Linked DNA regions of Pelodiscus sinensis. The protein of the gene in region 1 purifies or fractionates together with the protein of each later gene. This does not show direct contact. Links are inferred from orthologs where the notes say so. Each region holds a gene or a part of one and is shown in the gene's direction. Other genes may lie near its edges.

Evidence for each region.
Region 2: the proteins of OSBPL8 (region 1) and GLG1 purify together in Homo sapiens (co-immunoprecipitation; 3 studies listed by BioGRID and IntAct, with this or other methods). This does not show direct contact. The link is inferred for Pelodiscus sinensis from reciprocal best matches to the Homo sapiens genes OSBPL8 and GLG1.

What each region holds. Positions count from the first base shown.
Region 1 is NC_134711.1:68,315,120-68,322,960, reverse strand, and holds the start of OSBPL8 (oxysterol-binding protein-related protein 8), read left to right. Parts: upstream 1-4,827; 5' UTR 4,828-4,894; coding exon of another isoform or gene 4,895-4,936; intron 4,937-7,841. UniProt on the Homo sapiens protein: Lipid transporter involved in lipid countertransport between the endoplasmic reticulum and the plasma membrane: specifically exchanges phosphatidylserine with phosphatidylinositol 4-phosphate (PI4P), delivering phosphatidylserine to the plasma membrane in exchange for PI4P, which is degraded by the SAC1/SACM1L phosphatase in the endoplasmic reticulum.
Region 2 is NC_134722.1:48,258,006-48,265,058, forward strand, and holds the start of GLG1 (Golgi apparatus protein 1), read left to right. Parts: upstream 1-4,046; 5' UTR 4,047-4,078; coding exon 4,079-4,345; intron 4,346-7,053. UniProt on the Homo sapiens protein: Binds fibroblast growth factor and E-selectin (cell-adhesion lectin on endothelial cells mediating the binding of neutrophils).

The sequences.
Region 1 (7,841 bases):
GAAAGAAGGCGTTCTTCAATGTAAAGAGGCCGTCTTCGAAAGAGAGCATCCAGACTCGCTGGGTGCTCTCTTTCGAAAAAGCAGATTTCTCTTTCGAAAGATCCGCCTGCAGTCTAGACGCGATCTTTTGAAAGAGGCTCTTTCGAAAGATGCTTTCGAAAGAGCCTCTTTCGAAAGAAGCCTGCAGTCTAGACATAGCCCTAGAGTCCTCTGTTAACTCAGTTATGTCAAATCACAGTCACACTGGTTGATTGTAATCACACCAATTGGGCACAATTGCAACCTACTCCAATACTTCAGTGTCTAAATCTAAAAGTTTATTCTAAATAAACAAGACAAAAAAACAAGTAGAGATGTTAAATAGTAAAACAATCATATACATGCAAAGACTTCGAAGTCCATATATGAGGTTCCTAGTAGTATTGATGAGTCTGCTTGCTTGAAAGTCACTCTGGAAGACAACTACAGCTTGGATAACTCATTCAGTCTCCCCTCCAACCCCACACCTCCCAAGCTTTGTCTCTAGAAAGGTTATTCTAGAGGTAAGAAGCAGAAATGAAGACAAAATGGAGAAGATGCAAGCTGCCTTGATTATTCCTTTTGCCATGTAGCTTCTACGGGTTGGACCTCCCTGATCTGGCACCCTTGAGACCTGTGCAGTCCCGAACAGGGTAGTTTGCCAGATCAGGGGAGGTAAGGCCTGGGGGCCTTGTGGGACTCGCCACTTGGCCACCAGCCCAGCTGATATGCTGTCCCTGGCCGGCTGGCAGGGCTCCAATCCAGGTTCCCAGCCCCGCTCCAGCCAGTGGGGCTACGTCTACCCAGCAGCCTGGCTGTTGTGGCTAGCAGAGCTCAGTTCCCGGCTGGTGGGGCTCATTTCTCCTGCCTTTGCTCCAGCTGGCAGAGCTCTGTGCCCCTAGTTGGCCATGCTCCAGCTGCCAGCCCACTGGCCAAGCTTGGTGCCCTCAGGCCACTGGCCCTGCAGGCTGCAAAACTGGCTGAGCTCCCAGCTGCTGGTAACCTCTGTGACTGGGACTTTCTAGTCCAGCAACATCTGTGGTCCTACTAGACCACAGATCATGTTGGACCAGAGAGTTCTGGACTAAAGAGGTTCAAACTATCCCAACACAAGCTGCCTAGCACCTAGCCTGGGGAGGCTAGAGTTCTGTCCATAGGCATGCCCTTACATGCTTTGTTGAATATTATGGCATAGCACTTGCCTCTTCTCAATGGGTCAGTTGAATAGTTGATGGTCCTGGGTGTACCAACAAGGCTAGGCAGTGCATTACCAAACTCTCTCTGGTTGTCACCCAGAAGCATAACACAAGTTTTGTAACACCAGACCTACATGCTCATAATCCAAAATACAAATGTGATACAAACATATAAATGAGATTATATCAATTTTGCATAAATCTTACAAGGCATATCTGGCACAACTCACTGCATTCTACAATATTGATATTCATGTCTTAAAGTGTCCCAGATTCCATATACCATCCCAGCTATGTTGTAGCAGACCCTTAAACTAAAAAGAGAATTCCTCAGTTCAGTGGTTTTAAGCTTGTCATGTAGTCGTTCATGGATGTCTTTTCCACATACTTGGCTTTCCAAGAATCTTCCGTTTGCTATCAAGTCCTGCCAGTCTCTGTCTCAGTTTTGTTTCCTCAGTTCTCCCTCTGACTGCCATATATCTGTTGTGGAATTGCTGATGAGACCCTATCCATTTTGAATTACCAGAGAGGGAGTGCAAACAAAAAATATATACCTTGTTTTTCTGCTTAGTAGAATTGTTTCTCAGACTCTACCACACTGAGGGTACATCTACACTAGCCCCCTAGTTTGAATTAGGGAGCCTAATGAGGGTGACCAAAATTGCAAATGAAGCGCGGGATTTAAATATCCCGCGCTTCGTTAGCATGTTCCTGGCTGGTCGTCATTTTGGAAATTGACTAGCCTGAAATAACCGCCCACGTCTACACACGGCAGAGAAGGGCGATTCTGAAATAAACCTCTTACTTCGAATTAATAGTTAAACTCCTTACTTGGAATGAGGTTTATTTTGGAATTGCCCTTCTCTGCCGCGTGTAGACGCGGACAGTTATTTCAGGTTAGTCAATTTCCAAAATGGCGACCAGCCGGGAACATGCTAACGAAGCGCGGGATATTTAAATCTTGTGCTTCATTTGCAATTTTGGTCGCCCTCATTAGCCTCCCTAGTTCGAACAAGGGGGCTAGTGTAGATGTACCCTGAGCGTGTTTGATTAACCACATTTTGAGAAGTCTTTCCTATAGAATAGTGTGTTTGGAGTGCTATCATGGCTGTCCCAGACTTGAAAGGATGAGCCTGTTTTGGTAACTTGAGCTGCATTTCCACAGTCAGTCTGATGCCACTTGCAGAAACTTTATTGAATCAGTAACAGTTTAGTGTGCCTATATTTCATTGTTTGCATGTTTTTGAAGACTAAAAATAATAGACTCCTTAAAATGTAAAGGACGCATTATATGGCTGAAAATTTGAGTCTGTAGCCATTGTAGTTGTGAAGTAACCCAACAGTGCACAATGTATATCAACATTGGTTTACTTGCAAATAGTATGAAACAGTAGCTCTAGGCTTTTTATCTCTATTGGATACTGGTTCAAAATCCTAACCAAGGATACTTTAAAAGTTGTCACTGTTTCTCTCATCTTGGCGGAAAGGTCTGGCTAATACTTCACCATTGTTGGATATAAGTTAGCTGCTGTCGGGATCTTGCTGAGAGCCCTTGAAATGCTGTTATGTATTTTAATACAGAAATTCTAAACTGCTCAAGATAGTTAAGACTAAAGCAGACTGTGAAGAGCTTCAGACGGATCTCACAAAACTAGGTGATGGGGCAACAAAGTGGCAAATGAATTTTCATGTTGATAAACGCAAAGTAAGGCACATTATTAGGGATTATTTTTTCCATATGTACAAAATCATGGGGACTAAATTAGCTGTTACCACTGAAGAGAGATCTTGGAGTCATTGAGTGGATGTTTTCAGAGAACTATCCACATTGTGCAGCAGCAGTCAAAAAACCAAACACAATGTTAGGAATCATTAAAAAAGGGATAGAGAAAAAGACAGAACATACCTTATTGCTTCTGTGTTAATCTATGGTACTCCTGCATCTTGAATATTGCATGCAAGTAGAGTTGTTACTCCACCTCAAAAAAATATGTATTTGGAAAAGATTCAGAAAGGAACAACAGTAATTATTAGGGATTTGGCACAGCTTCCGTATGAGGAAAGATTAATAAGACTCATTAGCTTGGAAAAAGAGACAACCTAAGGGGGTGATATGATAGGTCTATAAAACCATGGCTGCTGGTTTTATACTAGGAAGTCCTATTTACCTATTTTCATACCATGAGAACTAGGGGGTCACCAAATGAAATTAATAGGCAGCAGGTTTAAAACAAAATCAAGTATTTCTTCACGTAGTGCACAGTCAACCTGTGAAACTCTTTGCCAGAGGATGTTGTGAAGGCCAAGACTATACCAGGGTTTTAAAAAATAACTATATAAATGTATGGATAGTAGTTCCATCAACAGCTATTAGACAGGATATGCAGGGATGATGTACCTGGCTTCTGGTTGCCAGGAGCTCAGAATGGGCAATAGGGAATGAAGCGCTTAATGATTACTTGTTCTGTTCATTCCCTCTGGAGCACCTGGCTTTGGCCACAGTCAGAAGATACTGGGCTAAATGTACTTTTGGTTTGACCCAGTATGGCCGTTCTTCTGTTAAAATTTTCTCTGATTTAGCACTGTCTTACTGTGATGCATTTATTGAAATAAATGTTAATTTTATATACGGTTCCTATAGGATTTTTATCTTAATGCATGACTTTAAAAAAAAAAAAAAACTTGGTTACAGAATGTTTGATACTAGTAATTGTTCATGGTGGAATTTCTGTCCTTTTGTATGGACTGATACTGTCTCTAATTATATGATCTTATACACACACTCTTTCTCAAACCTGGCCTTAATTTGTTATGTATATTAAACAGGAATGGGGGTCCAGAGCAATCAATGTGTGTCTTCAGTGATTTTATAGTGTGGCGTGAACAAGCCTAGTATCATACTACCCTTTCCTTGTTTTATGCAAAACATTGCATCACAGGTAGGGAATAAGGTAGTAGTCCTGAAGGGGTAGAATCATGCTGTGTGTCTTGAGTAGGACTTGGGGAAAAAAAAATCCAGTCCCTGGCTTGTCCAAAAATGGCACCATAAGTGGCAAAGTCTTTTAGCCCCTGCCTCAGTTCTGTATATACTACTACTTAAATTATGGGGGGAGATCATAACAATTTCTGAATAAAATGCGACAAACAAGCTTGTAAAGGAAAACCATTCCATGTTCACTGTAGGGTTTGGATGTTGTACAGTAACGGAGGCCTGCACATTGAACTAAGAAGATGTAAGAAGCTGTAGAAGGAAACTGGTTTTTTGCTTATTGTTGACAAACTGACTTTTTAGCGCAGGTGGGATCCTGTGGGGAAAATAGTCTTTAAAAATAATGTGCCATCACAATGTGTGTAGAAAATCGGCCAACTTCAATGTGATCATTGCTTGAGTTTTACATGATTCACTTTGCAACCTTTAATTATTTTTATAGGCCTTTTGTACAGATAATATATGGAATCTTTGAGGACATTATGGTGTAAAAGATATACGGTAGGAGTAAAGTCATAATTTTTGTTGAGCAGTGTTCTGTTATACTGTTGAACATTAAGGATATCTATTGGTAAGGTTCGCTAATTTCAGCCACTGATGATGCCCTCTGTTGTTTTCTTCCAGGATATGCAAGTTTGCAGAATGGAGGAACTCTAGTTGAAAGAGATACAGAGACAAGGCATCTTTCAACATGGAGACTGTTTTGTTTGAAGGGGAATCGGACAGGATTTCGGTGAGTAACATCAATCTTATTGAACATATTCAAACTAAATTAATGTTGAGGATTTTTTAGGATAATTGATCTTTTTTTATCTTAAAATGGCAATAGTTTTTGGCAAGGTGTGTTAAAAAGTAATTTTTATATAATTGGGGTAAAATGTGCCAACACTTGCTAAGCAGGGTGTGCCTGGTCACCTTGTAGTACTACTTTTCACTACCGCGTAGGAAATGTTTGTTTGATAGAGTAGGTACTCACTATTCTGAGTAGTAGAGGGCAGTCCTGCCTGTCTTACGTTTGAGATCTTTTTGGAACTGGATTTATGAGTATTTATTTCCTTTGTATATTTTGACTCCTGATACTGACAACTTGAAATTTTAAACTTATAAAACTTTAATATTTTGAATGTGAACATCATGAAATAATTCTTACATGCCCCACAATTGAAATAGATTAAAAATCGGAAATGTGCTGAACCTATAATTTTGTGCTACTGTGAAAATTTGAATCCAGGAAAAAAAAGCTTTAAAATATTATCCTCTTTAAGACTACTGAAAAAAATTATCCAAGCTTACTTGTGAGATTTTGATGATACAAAATGCACTAATATTTTTGGGCGATGTTTGATATGTAATGGAAAGACGATTTTTGATCTTCTGTCTACATGCACAATTCTTTAAAATATTGTCATTTACTTGGCAGAGTCCAATGCTAAATTAATTTCCATACAGTATGATCTAACGGGATGTGACTTTTTTTTCTTTTAAGTACCTCTAACAAAGTACTGCAAAACTCATTTAGATTTTTTCCTTTCTTCAGAGACAATAAATGAATGCTTTTAAAATAATAAATATGTAGGTTTTTTTATCTTAATATCTCTTAGTTGCCAGTACAAAAAAAAAGGTATTTGGGCCATAAAAATAATCCAAAGAACCTGTTTTGCTGGACACAATGAGTAATATGGAGAATGTGCTTATATTTGGAGATGAGTATAAAGTGAGCTACTTTTCAACCTTACTCTAGGCTGTATATATCTCTTCCTCATTCAGAATTGAATTATTTTATGTGAGAAATTCATGCCTTTTGCTCATGTACATGAGATATCAACCACAATGTAGGGCCTGTTTGAAAAATCTCCCTTCTCCAAAATGTGTCCTGTGGTCATGGTACCTTTATTTCTGAACTGATGTGAATCTTGCACCTTTTCTCTGTTATCAGCATTTATTGAAGTGGGCTGCACTCCCTCCCAAGAGTGAGTTGGACCTTCTTGACATGGCTTATAAATGAGACCCATAGAGTAGCTTTTTTTCTAAGTTAATTAAGGTTACATATACACTGTTCTGCAGTTCAGACTATGGTCATGTCAAGAGCTGTGCTGTAATTATCATAGGCAGACCCTGTGGGCATGAACCAAAAGTTCCTAAGTTTGCATTGAAGTAGTCCTGGTTTAAATAGTCTGAACTTGAATTCATCCCCCGGAGGACCAAAAAGAGAGGAAACTTGATGACGTATTCTGGATCATGGTGGAAGGTTGAAGGGTTTGAGCAGTAGGAGCCAGAAGTGACAAGGGTTTTTAAAAAAATCCTTCACTTAATCTTGTGTGCTGTGTCCTGGTTGCTTTTGCCACAGTACTGGGGGAAAATTATTACTTAAACTTTCTGTTGCTTGAATCACAACACTATATTTCCCTTCTGCCTCTGTATGTAATTCCTGGACTATCATGGTGCTCTAAATTGGGGCTACTCAACTTTGGAAAACCCAGGGGCCACAAATGATATCCACAGCACATGCTGAGGACCGCAACTGAAGCATGACTGCATATATATGCAAATAGCTTCTTTCTCAGTGATGGGCGTGAATACAAAGATTAAGGCAAGACAACACGACATGGAGGCCCCATTTAAGTCAGTTCTGCTGATATTAATAAAATGCAATATTTACCCAATTTCCACCCATATAGCAACAGTTCTAATGAGCAATGACAGTTCAGCAATTTAACTACTAAAACACATGTCAACAGAAGACCATTATATTGACTATTTTTGTTTTTGTTTGCTTGTTTTGGCTTCACAATTTTAACAAATCAAGCAAACTGCCAATACAATATTTACTGAAATGGTCACTCTTCTACCCCAGAGCCAGGCACCCCAGCCCACTGCTTTATCTCAATGCACCCACCCCTCCCCCAGAGTCAGTCTCCCCCCTCCTCCGCCCCTCCCAACCAGAGGCAGGCACCGGAGGTATGGGACAGGTAACCCTACCTTTCAAGTGGCCGCTCCTGGCTGCCTCGGCTTGATTGCAGTTTGCACAGGGAGCAAGCACATGGCCTGCTAGCTCCTGGATCACCGTAATTCGTGGGCTTGTGCACTCCAGTACCACCCCAACCCCTCCCTCCCCCCTCAAGCCCAATGCACCCCCAGCCTCTTATCCCCCCTCAACCAAATCCCCCTCCTGCAGAGCCAGGTGCTGGAGGTATGAGACACCCTACCTTGGAAGTGGCTGCTCCCACCGCCCACTTGGAGGCTTGATTGCAGTTTGCACAGGGAGCATGTGGCCCACCAGGCACTCCCGGCTCGCTGCAATGCATTGGGCTGTGCACTATGGTTCCACCCCAGCCTGATGACCCCTAGCGTGATGCCCAAGGGCAACTGCCTCCCTCCCCCGCTATGCTTCTGCCCATGCATGCGCCGGCGTGGCGCTGCTGCTGTGGCAGACGCGGCAAGCATGCTCTGCTGCACCTTTTGCCGCTCGCCCCATTCCATTGGCTGGCAGCTCCTGCACGCACAGCCTGGCTCAAAGCCGTGCTGCTCAGCACTGCAGCTGGAGCCCCAGCAATGAGGCAGGCAGGCAGCCTGAGAAGCGGCTCAAGGTGCCGCAGGTGACATGCAAAGGGGCTGCGGGCTGTATGTGTCCCACGGGC
Region 2 (7,053 bases), on another chromosome or scaffold:
AGTGTGGACACAAAATTGGTAGCCGCGTCTGCAAGAATGATTCATTGATCACGGCAGCCACATCCGCAGATGTGCATTCCTGCAGATATAAAGCAGGTCTCCGCAAATGTGCAAGGTTCTAGATACAAAGTTTTTATCTGCATCTGTGTCCATACCCGCAAAAACGAGCTGCAGATATCATACCTGTGGATATCAGCGGATATCCGCAGACTTGTGGGGCTCTAGAAATCATCATGAAACAAAATCCTGTGAGATGCACGTTATCTCCCTGTGTGGGGAGGACGGACTAGAAACTTCCTCTTAACATTTCATAAATATTATTCATTTGTTTTACTTTCAATTCTAGAAGCTACTAACCACAGTGATGAAAGAACAGCATATCGGCACCTCCACAGAACTGGGTAACTCAGAATCCCAGCTGTCAGTGTGGGTTAGTGGCAGTGGAACTCTCCTTTGCCTGCTCTTGAGAAGCGGAGTGGGTGCTAGAGAGGCTGGGCACTGGCAGGGTGCCAGGGGTCCCAGGACAACTGGGAAGGGGGATCAGGGATGCTGGGGGTCCTGGGACTGAGGGCAGCAGAGAGGGCATGGTAGAGGCTGGGGAAGCATGGAGGGGGCCAGGGTCCCAGAGCAGTGGGGGAGGGATGCAGGGATGCCAGGCCCTGAGGGGAGCAGGGGGTCCCGGAGCAGCGGGGAGGGTTGCAGGGATGCCGGGCCCTGGGGGGGCAGCGGGTCCCGGGGCAGAGGGGGAGGGTTGCAGGGATGCCGGGGCCTGAGGGATCAGAGGGTCCCGGAGCAGGAGGGCGGGTTGCAGGTGTGACGGCGCGTTGGGGGTCCCCCGTCTCCTGCACCCCGAAATGGCACAAACAGACTGCACCAGCCGGTGGGATAGAGGAAGTTTATTGCCTCTCCAGGATACAGCACAGCACAGATGTAGTCTGGTCACAGAGCTGGGCTAGGATGCCTCAGGCCCCCTTGAGATGGGGGAGACTGGGCCCCTAAACTCCAGCTCCTCTCCCTAGGCTGTCTCCTCCATGCTCACAGCCAGCCAGCAACCAACTAACTTCCAGCCCTGCCCCCCAGCCAGGGCAGCATTCCACCTTCCTTTGTTCCTCTCCATGGGGGGTGTCTGGCCATTCTGGTTTGCATAGTGACACATCCTGTTTTGCTGGGTCGTGGTACCCACGGCAGCCAGTGGGGGTTACCCCAGAGCCAGCAGCATAGAAACCAGCCAGGTACCCCCACTACGTCACAGCAGGGATGCCAGGCCCTGGGGCGGCAGGGGGTCCCGGAGCAGGGGGGCGGGTTGCAGGGGGAGCAGGGGGTCCCGGAGCAGGAGGGCGGGTTGCAGGGATGCCGGGCCCTGGGGGGCGGGGCAGGGGGTCCCAGAGCAGGGGGGCGGGTTGCAGGGGAGGCAGGGGGTCCCGGAGCAGGGGGCGGGTTGCAGGGATGCCGGGCCCTGGGGGGCGGGGCAGGGGGTCCCAGAGCAGGGGGGCGGGTTGCAGGGGAGGCAGGGGGTCCCGGAGCAGGGGGGCGGGTTGCAGGGATGCCGGGCCCTGGGGGGCGGGGCAGGGGGTCCCAGAGCAGGGGGGCGGGTTGCAGGGGAGGCAGGGGGTCCCGGAGCAGGGGGCGGGTTGCAGGGATGCCGGGCCCTGGGGGGCGGGGCAGGGGGTCCCGGAGCAGGGGGCGGGTTGCAGGGGGTCCCGGAGCAGGGGGCGGGTTGCAGGGATGCCGGGCCCTGGGGGGCGGGGCAGGGGGTCCCAGAGCAGGGGGGCGGGTTGCAGGGGAGGCAGGGGGTCCCGGAGCAGGGGGCGGGTTGCAGGGGGTCCCGAAGCAGGGGGCGGGTTGCAGGGATGCCCGGCCCTGGGGGGCGGGGCAGGGGGTCCCAGAGCAGGGGGGCGGGTTGCAGGGGAGGCAGGGGGTCCCGGAGCAGGGGGCAGGTTGCAGGGGGTCCCGGAGCAGGGGGCGGGTTGCAGGGATGCCGGGCCCTGGGGGGCAGGGGGTCCCGGAGCAGGGGGACGGGTTGCAGGGGGGGCAGGGGGTCCCGGAGCAGGGGGCGCGTTGCAGGGGGGGCAGGGGGTCCCGGAGCAGGGGGCAGGTTGCAGGGATGCCGGGCCCTGGGGGGCGGGGCAGGGGGTCCCAGAGCAGGGGGGCGGGTTGCAGGGGAGGCAGGGGGTCCTGGAGCAGGGGGCGGGTTGTAGGGATGCCGGGCCCTGGGGGGCGGGGCAGGGGGTCCCAGAGCAGGGGGGCAGGTTGCAGGGGAGGCAGGGGGTCCCGGAGCAGGGGGCGGGTTGCAGGGGGTCCCGGAGCAGGGGGCGGGTTGCAGGGATGCCGGGCCCTGGGGGGCGGGGCAGGGGGTCCCAGAGCAGGGGGGCGGGTTGCAGGGGAGGCAGGGGGTCCCGGAGCAGGGGGCGGGTTGCAGGGGGTCCCGGAGCAGGGGGCGGGTTGCAGGGATGCCGGGCCCTGGGGGGCAGGGGGTCCCGGAGCAGGGGGGCGGGTTGCAGGGTGGGCAGGGGGTCCCGGAGCAGGGGGCGCGTTGCAGGGGGGGCAGGGGGTCCCGGAGCAGGGGGCAGGTTGCAGGGATGCCGGGCCCTGGGGGGCGGGTTGCAGGGGGGCCCGGAGCAGGGGGCGGGTTGCAGGGATGCCGGGCCCTGGGGGGCGGGGCAGGGGGTCCCAGAGCAGGGGGGCGGGTTGCAGGGGAGGCAGGGGGTCCCGGAGCAGGGGGCGGGTTGCAGGGATGCCGGGCCCTGGGGGGCGGGGCAGGGGGTCCCAGAGCAGGGGGGCGGGTTGCAGGGGAGGCAGGGGGTCCCGGAGCAGGGGGCGGGTTGCAGGGATGCCGGGCCCTGGGGGGCGGGGCAGGGGGTCCCAGAGCAGGGGGGCGGGTTGCAGGGGAGGCAGGGGGTCCCGGAGCAGGGGGCGGGTTGCAGGGATGCCGGGCCCTGGGGGGCGGGGCAGGGGGTCCCGGAGCAGGGGGCGGGTTGCAGGGGGTCCCGGAGCAGGGGGCGGGTTGCAGGGATGCCGGGCCCTGGGGGGCAGGGGGTCCCGGAGCAGGGGGGCGGGTTGCAGGGGGGGCAGGGGGTCCCGGAGCAGGGGGCGCGTTGCAGGGGGGGCAGGGGGTCCCGGAGCAGGGGGCAGGTTGCAGGGATGCCGGGCCCTGGGGGGCGGGTTGCAGGGGGGCCCGGAGCAGGGGGCGGGTTGCAGGGATGCCGGGCCCTGGGGGGCGGGTTGCAGGGGGGCCCGGAGCAGGGGGGCGGGTTGCAGGGGGGCCCGGAGCAGGGGGGCGGGTTGCAGGGGGGCAGGGGGTCCCGGAGCAGGGGGGCGGGTTGCAGGGATGCCGGGCCCTGGGGGGCGGGGCAGGGGGTCCCGGAGCAGGGGGGCGGGTTGCAGGGGGGGCTGGGGGTCCCGGAGCAGGGGGCGGGTTGCAGGGGGGGCAGGGGGTCCCGGAGTAGGGGGGCGGGTTGCAGGGGGGGCTGGGGGTCCCGGAGCAGGGGGGCGGGTTGCAGGGGGGGGCAGGGGGTCCCGGAGCAGGGGGGCAGGTTTCAGGGGGGGCTGGGGGTCCCGGAGTAGGGGGCGGGTTGCAGGGATGCCGGGTCCTGGGGGGCAGGGGGTCCCGGAGCAGGGGGCGGGGCAGGGGGTCCCGGAGCAGGGGGGCGGGTTGCAGGGATGCCGGGCCCTGGGGGGCGGGGCAGGGGGTCCCGGAGCAGGGGGGCGGGTTGCAGGGATGCCGGGCCCTGGGGGGCGGGTTGCAGGGGGTCCCGGAGCAGGGGGGCGGGTTGCAGGGGGGCCCGGAGCAGGGGGCGGGTTGCAGGGGGGCAGGGGGTCGGGGCGGAGCGGCGCGGAGCAGCAGGCGCACGTGGGGACCCGGCGCTCGCAGGGACCCAGCGGCTCGGCGCGAGGGCGGGGTCGGCTCCCATCAGCCAAGGACTGCGGGGGCGAGCGCATGCGCGGCGCGCGGGCGCCAGAGAAAGGGGCGCGTCGCCGCCCGCGCGCTCGGTGGCGTCCCGGCGTGGCGCGGGCTGCTGCGCCTGCGCGCTGGGCGCGGGGGCGGGCCGGGCGGCGGGCCGGAGGTGTCGGATCCAAGATGGCGCCGTGCGGACGTGTCCGGAGCCGCGGGCCGGGCCCGCTGGCGCTGCTGCTGCTCTCGCTCGCGCTGGCGGCCGCGCAGAGCGCCCCGCAGCCGGCGGCGGGCGGGCCGGGCCCCGGGGGGCGGGGGCCTCGCGGCGGCGCCGGCGGCGGCTGGAAGCTGGCGGAGGAGCCCGCCTGCCGCGAGGACGTGAGCCGGGTCTGCCCCAAGCACAGCTGGGCCAACAACCTGGCCGTGCTCGAGTGCCTGCAGGACGTGCGCGAGGTGCGGGGGGGGGGGCCCGGGCGTGTGAGGGGGGGTCCGGGGGGGGCAGGAGGGCATGTGAAGGGGGGCTGGGGGGGGCAGGAGGGCATGTGAAGGGGGGGTCCGGGGGGGGGCAGGAGGGCATGTGAACGGGGGCGGGGGGGCAGGAGGGCATGTGAAGGGGGGGTCCGGGGGGGGCAGGAGGGCATGTGAACGGGGGCGGGGGGGCAGGAGGGCATGTGAAGGGGGGTCCGGGGGGGCAGGAGGGCATGTGAAGGGGGGGCCGCGCATGTGAAGGGGTGCGGGCATGTGTGGGGGGTTCCGGGGGGGGCAGGAGGGCATGTGAAGAGGGGGCTGGGGGGGGCAGGAGGGCATGTGAAGGGGGGCTGGGGGGGCAGGAGGGCATGTGAGGGGGGGCGGGGGGGCAGGAGGGCATGTGAGGGGGGGCGGGGGGGGCCGGGCATGTGAAGGGGGGGCGGGGGCGGTAGGAGGGCATGTGAAGGGGGGCGGGGGGGGCAGGAGGGCATGTGAAGGGGGGGCTGGGGGGGGCAGGAGGGCATGTGAAGGGGGGGCAGGGCAGGTCCAGGCTTATGGTAGGAGGCCTGGGAAGTAGGCAGGGCCGGGCATGTGGAGGTGCGGAGGCCTGGGGGCGAGCGGTGGCAGGCCAGGGGCCCCAGGTTCTGGCCTTGTAGGGGCCGAGCACCCAGGTGGCTGCAGAGGGAGGACAGCTGGCTCTGGCTGAGTCTCTGTGCTGGCTGCAGGGAGCACAGAAGGGTGCATATCAGAGCTGGGATATGCCCCTATTCACAGCTGGGCCCCCTCACTGGGCAGGCTAGGCGCCCCAGGAGCAGCACCTGGCCCCTTGGCCAAGGTGGGAAGCTCCTGTCCTTCCCCTAGCTTGGTGGTGCCCTGCATCAGTGCCACTCCTAACCCAGCTGCTGGGGTTTTGGCAGCATGCAGAGCATGGCCTGTCTCTTAGCTGAACCCAGGAATCACCCAAGTCAGGTCAATCTCTTCTCCCTTCTGTTCCGCCCTAATTTCTTAGTGCCGTTACTAGCTATGGGCGACGGTTACTCGTGTGTTATGCGTATACAAACTGCTTTTCAGGGAGTGTAATTTGAAAAGACCGGTACCCCCTACTCTTCCATTGTCTCCTGTCCTCTTTCAGGTCATTAGCCTGGGCTCTGGGAAGGAATCCACTTCCTCGCCTCAGTATCCAGCAGTAATTGGTTAGGTGCATTAGAGTGACTTTCCCTTCTTTGAAACACCATTAGATGGCTGTTTGAAGACAAGGGACTGGATTTGTTTTCTGACTAATTTGTCAGTTCCTGTTCAATGTGCATCATACTGTATTTTTCATGTGTACACATTAGGCTCGTTCCACTAGATTCAATTAATGGTTAGTAATTTTTAGAAAGAAGGGATTATGGATTCCCAGTGTGCAGTCATATATGACTGTTGAGGTTGTAGTTACATACAGTGGTTGAACTTTATTTTTATTAGTAGCTTTCTTTGGTAAGGCTAGAGCTGGCCTTTCTCCTTATACAGTATTGCACAACTCTCCTGCTGCACTGGGGTGTGTGTGTGTATCTTTCCTCTGAAGCACCAGGTAATACCCTTTCGAGGAAGAGGATACCAGTTGGATAGTGTGAACTTGCAATCTATTCAGGAGAATGATTTGTCCACGGTTTCATTTTTCCCCTATTCACTTAAAACAATAACTGGGGCTTTTTAATCATTGGAAAAACTTGATTTCCCCTCAAGATTGTCTAGTATATGGTTTAGATGAGAAGTTCAGCAGAAAGGTTAAAGCTTGCTCTGGGATTCTAATAACCCTGTAGCTGGGGGCCTCTTCTTTTGGTAACTTGTAATTTTTGCTCATGCAGTAGAAAAAAAACTCTGGGTGAACTTGTATGGTTATTTTAAATATTCCTCTTATTTTTCTGAGCGTGCTCATAAAAAGGGGTGCATCTGTGGCTTTACTATTGAGAAGTCTGGAAGAGCAATCAAAAAAGCTATGTGCTCAAGGCATTGGGCAGAAAAATCCAGCAGTGTGATAGATTCCTGTCTGAGTGAGAGAAGAGTTGTTGCATTATGTTTCCAATTCAACAAAAAGCTTTGTTTTCTGTAATTGCCAGTTATGCTTCATGAAACAAGGTTGCTCAAATGAACTCTTGGAAAAATAAAACACAAACATCCTACTGCCTGTGTGTAAACACTTTTCCCAAAGTAATCGCTCCATATCTTCCCAAAGTGATCGCTCCATCCTCATCCTCTAGAGGAAGCCTGCACAATGCCTTCTAAAGATGACCCTGGGAGCTTAAATTCATAACTTTGCTAGAAGCGGCAAATCATAGGTTTAATAAAGACACTGGATTGATGGTTTATCCCAACAATCTGTAACTCTCCCCCACCTCTTTTTTTTTTTGGTTCTGTGACTGCAGAGGTGTTAGCTGGCTACTTCATCTCCAATGGTGTCTTACAGTGTTTATTTACTACATATGCTGAACAATCTGTTGCAGCTTCTGTTTAGCTGCGACATTGTAGTTGCCATTTCCAGACCCGAAGAACAGCTCTGAGCTGAAAATGCTTGTCTTTTTCACCAGCAGAAGTTGGTCTAATAAGAGATTCACCTTTTGCTAGTTATAAGGGCTATCACGCATCATTGCATTTCTTCAAACTTGCCTAATGACTTGACTTGCAATGTATCAGAATGCACCACTTTCTTA